2 linked regions of the Saccharomyces cerevisiae S288C genome follow. The protein of the gene in region 1 interacts with the protein of each later gene in a pairwise test. Each region holds a gene or a part of one and is shown in the gene's direction. Other genes may lie near its edges.

Evidence for each region.
Region 2: the proteins of MEI4 (region 1) and REC104 interact in binary tests that used the Saccharomyces cerevisiae proteins (3 or more experiments, as listed by UniProt).

The regions. Positions count from the first base shown.
Region 1 is NC_001137.3:237,828-241,752, reverse strand, and holds MEI4 (Mei4p), read left to right. Parts: upstream 1-1,978; coding exon 1,979-2,041; intron 2,042-2,129; coding exon 2,130-3,293; downstream 3,294-3,925. Other genes in the region: ACA1 (Aca1p), read left to right, coding at 252-1,721; ERG28 (Erg28p), read left to right, coding at 3,737-3,925. UniProt on the Saccharomyces cerevisiae protein: Required for meiotic induction of recombination, viable spore production and chromosome synapsis. Component of the MER2-MEI4-REC114 complex which seems to be required for meiotic double-strand break (DSB) formation.
Region 2 is NC_001140.6:410,915-414,140, forward strand, and holds REC104 (Rec104p), read left to right. Parts: upstream 1-1,992; coding exon 1,993-2,541; downstream 2,542-3,226. Other genes in the region: U5 snRNP complex subunit LIN1, read right to left, coding at 470-1,492; KEL1 (Kel1p), read right to left, coding at 2,771-3,226. UniProt on the Saccharomyces cerevisiae protein: Potential transcriptional regulator that is required to activate expression of a number of early meiotic genes including HOP1.

The DNA.
Region 1 (3,925 bases):
ACCCTGGTGGTACAGAAGATTATGTTACATAATTCATCAATTTTTTTTATGTTAGTTCATCTTCAAAATCTGCTTTAACTGGTTATTATTAAAATATAGTAAATCTAGATCTCTCAATCTGAGTGCTTACCGACTAAAAGCGCAGAAACTGTATTCTTATTATTTTTTTTTTTTCACGGCAGCTAATTGTACTGAGTTATATTAATAGTACTGGAATAACACCAGGTAACGACTAAGGAACCAAATAAAGTATGGACTATAAGCATAATTTTGCTACAAGTCCAGATTCTTTCCTAGATGGAAGGCAGAACCCACTCTTATATACAGATTTTCTATCTTCAAACAAGGAGCTTATATACAAACAACCATCGGGTCCTGGTCTTGTGGATTCTGCCTACAATTTTCATCACCAAAACAGTTTGCATGACCGTAGCGTGCAAGAAAACCTGGGTCCAATGTTTCAACCCTTTGGCGTCGACATCAGCCATCTTCCCATTACCAACCCTCCCATTTTTCAAAGTTCTTTACCAGCGTTTGATCAGCCCGTGTACAAAAGACGCATATCTATCTCCAATGGTCAGATTAGTCAATTAGGCGAAGACTTAGAAACGGTTGAAAATCTTTACAACTGTCAGCCTCCGATCCTATCGTCTAAGGCGCAACAGAATCCCAATCCTCAACAGGTGGCAAATCCAAGCGCAGCCATATACCCAAGCTTTAGCTCGAACGAATTGCAAAACGTGCCACAACCACACGAACAAGCTACAGTCATACCCGAAGCTGCACCTCAAACAGGTAGCAAGAATATCTACGCTGCAATGACCCCGTATGATAGCAATATAAAGCTTAACATACCCGCAGTAGCAGCCACTTGTGACATTCCTTCTGCCACGCCTTCTATCCCATCTGGCGATTCCACAATGAATCAGGCTTACATCAACATGCAACTCCGATTACAAGCTCAAATGCAAACTAAGGCATGGAAAAACGCTCAATTGAATGTGCATCCATGTACTCCAGCCTCTAATTCTTCCGTTTCCTCTTCTTCTTCCTGCCAAAACATTAATGATCATAATATCGAAAATCAATCCGTCCATTCTTCAATTTCCCATGGCGTTAATCACCACACTGTTAATAATTCCTGCCAAAATGCCGAGTTGAATATTTCAAGCAGCCTTCCATACGAATCGAAATGCCCTGATGTCAATTTAACACATGCCAACTCAAAACCACAATACAAGGATGCCACTTCTGCACTGAAAAACAATATTAATAGTGAGAAAGACGTACATACCGCGCCCTTCTCCTCTATGCACACTACAGCAACCTTCCAAATAAAGCAGGAAGCTAGACCCCAAAAAATAGAGAACAATACTGCAGGCTTGAAAGACGGTGCTAAAGCTTGGAAGCGTGCAAGGCTACTAGAACGAAACAGAATTGCCGCTTCCAAGTGTCGACAGAGAAAGAAAATGTCACAATTACAACTTCAAAGGGAATTTGACCAAATAAGCAAAGAAAACACAATGATGAAGAAAAAAATTGAAAATTACGAAAAATTGGTTCAAAAAATGAAGAAAATTTCGAGGTTGCACATGCAAGAATGCACAATTAATGGTGGTAATAATAGTTATCAAAGCCTTCAAAACAAGGATAGTGATGTTAACGGGTTTCTGAAAATGATTGAAGAAATGATACGCAGCTCCAGTCTATATGATGAATAAAAGTATTGCGCATACTTCTTATGGGAGATCCAAATTCCCAGTACATTAGTTTGACTCTCCTTCCTTAATGTTTTCCTCTGTACGATTATTTATGTTTAAACGATTTATTTTACTATGTATGTATTTCCTTTCATTTTCTTTCGGAGTCATATATATTGCTGGGCGGCTAAATGTTTCCGACTTGTAAAAGAAAACATAACAAACATCTTGTAGTTGTGAAACAGTTTCATTAAATAATCTTTTAGAAGAGTAAGGACATGAGTAGAGGCAAACTGGAAGATATGGAACAAAAGGAAACATCGGAAGTTGACTGGATAATCGTACGTGAAATTGTCACATCCTTAACCTATTTTCTCTTTACTAACTTTTAGTAAGAGGTGTAATCTCCTCGAATATTATCTATGACAGTGTTTTGCTTTAATTCAATCCAGGAATCCTACGTTGTGGAAGAGGGCACTTTCAAGAAAGAAAGGAGATGTCGAAGATGTAGGTGCTCTCAAGAGTGAAAAAAATTTAAAAATAAATCCTCGGGAAAACTCAAAACATATATACAAATGGGTTGCGCCTTTCGAAAATGGATTTTTGAATAATAAATCACTGTTTGCTCATCTGGAACCTATATACAATTTCCTTTGCCAGAATAAGTACAAAAGCTTCGAAGATGCAGTTGGTTTAAAGGAGCTGCAATCATTTAGCAAAGATGTATCAACTGCTGATATAAACAACTGGTTTTTACCGAGATATAAAATTCTGCTAAAAATCCTGAGCTTAAAAACAAAAGAAATTGACTTTAGAGGGTTATCGCAAGTGTTTCAAACACTCCAAATCTTGTTAGTTTCTCATTATTCGCATCGCATAGATTCTGATTCTTCTTTTAAGAGGACACTGATAGACGTTCATGTTTTCAATTTCATCGCCAAGTTTCTGTTTAATAGAATTTTATTGAAGAAGAACCAAAACGATCCAAAATGGCTTCAAAACTTTTACGACCAGGGAGATGGCAAACATTTATGTGATAAAGTTGACTACAAGCGCTTGTGTTCGTTGCATTTTACCCTTATTTACTCTATTATTAACATTCAACTCATCAAAATCAAGACAAACCAAACATTTGAACCGCAGATATTAAAATACGTATCTGTTCTGAAATTAATTGAACACATACTTATCATCATCGAAAGTCTGATACATGTACTTATTAGATTTGTATCGAAGCATAAACTAATATGCATCAACCGGAAAAAGGCGTACTGTCGAGTATACCTCGAAAGAGAATTGAGTTTGAAGAAAACCTACTTAAAGAACTTTTACAGTGTAATAAGCGGTGTCCCAGAAAAAGAGTTAGGGGGTCTATTGAAAATACTCAAGATAGTTATTCTATCATTGCTCGAGACATTTGAAAGCATTGAATGGCAGCACTTAAAACCTTTCCTGGAAAAATTTCCGGCTCATGAAATATCGCTTCAGAAGAAAAGGAAATATATACAGGCGGCCTTATTAATTACTGCCGAAAGAAATTTGATAGCGCGCTTTCGATTGTCAAGATGGTTCAATGAGACAGAAAACATTTAATTTTTCTTTTGCAGTAGGAGGCGCATTATAAAACACAAAAATATCGAAAGCTCTTTCATTTCGGGGACAACAACTTCAGTTGAAAATTACAGTGAACACAACATCTTCCCCAACAGACCTACATTAAAACGCTTCTTCCGGACTTGCCCATGATTAACCTAATCTTATACGAACTGAATTAAACTTTACGGTATTACCGATAGGAAACTTCTATTTTATGATTTTTTCGTTCGGGGACGGAACGAACAGGAAACAAAAAAAAAGGTACGATCCATTGTATTCTCTACCCCCGTATATAAAACTAAGCTGAACAAGCCTGTTGTTTTGCTTTACTATTGCTACTATTTTTGACGTAAACGCATTGACTAATTTCAGGTTTTTATATTCTTGACACTAGCTAGACCATAGTATCGAAGGATTCAAATACACTAAAGTATCAGATAATGTTCAGCCTACAAGACGTAATAACTACAACCAAGACCACCTTGGCAGCAATGCCAAAAGGTTACTTACCAAAATGGTTACTTTTCATTTCCATTGTATCAGTCTTCAATTCTATCCAGACTTACGTTTCTGGTTTAGAATTGACACGTAAAGTCTACGAAAGAAAACCCACTGAAACAACCCATTTG
Region 2 (3,226 bases), on another chromosome or scaffold:
TGTGGTGCTAACCCTAAGTACTTTTTTTTTTCGCCCTTTCCGGGTTTCTTTTTTTCACCTTTTCGTTTTTCTAGAATTTCGCAAAGTATATAAGAGACCATAAACAGTTGGAGAAAAATATCACAAATTTATCAGCCCAATTTATGGCAGCTTAAAAATGTCTAGGTCGATGCTTTCAACGATATCTTTATCAGGTGATTCTTACGCGCCAGGTGGATAGAGGAAATTTGCGACAGTAGGTTTACTGTCCTGGTTTCCTTGTACACTTGTGATACTCATTTTTTGTCTGCCAATAATATAGTCCTGTTTATTTGTTATATGATGATAACCTTCTCAGCTCACTCAGATCTTTTGATATGATTGATAAAAATTTCCTATCCAACATTCATCAATTTATCTGACCAAACAATAAACTTAGTACTATATAGTCTCGCAGGCAATTCTCTTGAATAATTTCAACTTTTATATCTTACATGAAACTTAAACACGATACATGTATCCAGTTTTCATCTCGATCTGGTTCGCTGTGAAATTTTACTATAACACTGTTTTTGAAGTAGGATTTTTGCCAATAAGACATTTCATAGTTCGTGTACAGGCCGTGATATTCATCTAATTTGTTCAACCACTTGAAGCCCCATAACTTTGTTTTATGGTTAACTATTCTGGAGGAGTCATCGAAAATTTCCTCTTCTATAGCATCCTGAACTTTTAAGCGGTTATATTCATATACTTCACTGAATCCCTTTTTTTCTAGTATATTGATCAAATCAGATAATAGCTCGATTCCGTGAATAACATATTTCAATGATTTGTTCTTTTTTGAAATGGCAATTTTTCGCAGCTTGTTTAACCTGCCCAAGGATTCCAGTACTGTTTCATTCTCATCAACAAGAAAAAATTTCAAAAGATTTAATGCTTCGTGGACCATATAATGTCTCGAATTCTGCGTTTTGACACTTTGTTCCTTTTCTAAGCGATTTACCTCCTCTGTATTTATGACATCATTCATCCATTCCTCATTATCTTGTTGATCATTTTCTGTGGCGTTTTCTGTCTTAATATAATTCCCATCTTTATCGAATACCCCATGTTTTATTTCGTCATCTATATTAAATGGCTCTATATTCACACCTTTTTCTACCTTGCTCTCTGAATTACCGATCTGATAATCTAAGTCGGCTAAGTTTTCTTTCTTGAACTCTGCAATATCCAAAAGCTGAATTTTCGATTTCTTTCGCTTTCTATGGTCTTCGACGTGATCTTCATTTTTTTCATAGGATTTTTCATCCATTTCTTTCCCACTATTTTCATTATCTGTAGAATCTTCAACGCTAGAATCAGAATCAGAATCATATTCTGCCCTGCTTAGCTCTTCATCTTCATATATCGTACTTTGATTATGTAACTCATCGCTAAGCTTTTCGTCGTGTTCACGTCGATCACTATTTCTTTTCAGTTTTGAGCTGTTCGGGTATTGCGTATATTTCATATCCTTCTACAAACAATATGGTGCACTTGAGTGTTTTTATCAAAGTTTTCCCTTGTTCTTTAAAAGGCAGCTTAGCATGGTCATTCCAATTTGTTCGGATGCGCTTCTTTTAATCTAGTCAGAGAAACTTACCCATTAAGTAATTAAAATCGATTATTAGGGCATAAATGGAAGAAAAGGAGACTATGTTGGTAGAATGTAAAGGAAGGGACCCTCATTCACAAACAAGGCAGGGACTTTTATGTTACTACTGAATGTTCATGGTGATGAGTGATAATGTCCTTTAGCTAATAGAGTAAGCCACACTTATTCAAAGGTCAATTTGGAGTAGGCTTACAAATGTAGTCTTTTCTTTCATAAACCAGTAGTGTTAAACTTTATGTTTCTTCAACTTTGACGCACAATATTTGGCGGCTATTTTCCGCTATACCAAATAAAATATATCTTTTGTATAAGAAAACAAACTGCTGAAGAAAAGAACATACAGCAACTTGGACAACATGTCCATCGAGGAGGAAGATACAAATAAGATCACATGTACGCAAGACTTTCTTCACCAATACTTTGTAACTGAAAGGGTTAGCATTCAATTTGGGTTAAATAACAAGACCGTAAAAAGGATAAATAAAGATGAATTTGATAAGGCAGTAAATTGTATCATGTCATGGACAAACTATCCTAAGCCTGGGTTAAAACGAACAGCTTCAACGTACCTCTTAAGCAATTCCTTTAAGAAATCTGCAACAGTATCTCTTCCGTTTATCTTAGGCGACCCAGTATGCATGCCGAAGAGGGTGGAAAGCAATAATAATGATACCTGTCTTCTGTATAGTGACACATTATATGACGATCCTTTAATACAGAGGAATGATCAAGCAGGAGATGAAATAGAGGATGAATTTAGCTTTACATTGCTACGAAGTGAAGTAAATGAAATCAGACCCATATCTTCGTCCAGCACCGCCCAAATACTGCAATCGGACTATTCTGCGCTGATGTATGAGAGACAGGCTTCAAATGGGAGCATATTTCAGTTTAGTAGTCCCTGAGATTTAGTTTGATATCGTTAGCATAAGCTATTTGTCACGTTACTATTTCTCTCCTTCATTTATTCTTCCATGATATATAAATTTTTGTCAAGAGTACAGTTATTATTATATTATATCATTATTATAATTGTTATGATTACTATTAATATTATTAATGTTTATTATCAATGTTTATTATTATTATTGTTATTACACATGAAAAGTGAAATTTCATTACGCATATTGTCTTTTATAGTAGATCGCTGTCAGCATCTTCATTAACTTGTTTGGTGTTATTTTCCAAATTCAATAATCTCTTTTTCAACTCTAACACTTCACTTTTCAAGTCATCTCTTTCTTGATTAGTGATGAAGAGTTCCGCTTTCAGATCATTTATTTTGATGTTGAATTGATTTTCTCTTATGCTGTTGCTATTTTTTACATTATTGGAACTCTCCTCGGTGCTTCTGAGACCATTTTCGAAATTTTCACTGCAGACGCCATTTTTGAACTTCAATTCATCTAACTCGTCGATTAACTTTTTATTCAAACTCTTGTACTTCTCTAGCTCTCTTTGTGAAACCATTAGTGCCTTACTTGCACTGTCCATAGAACTGATACTTTCTTTGTAATCATTCTGTATTTTTTTGATTTCATTCTCTTTTACTAATACATCTTGACTTAATGAGCTGTGTTCCATCTTTAA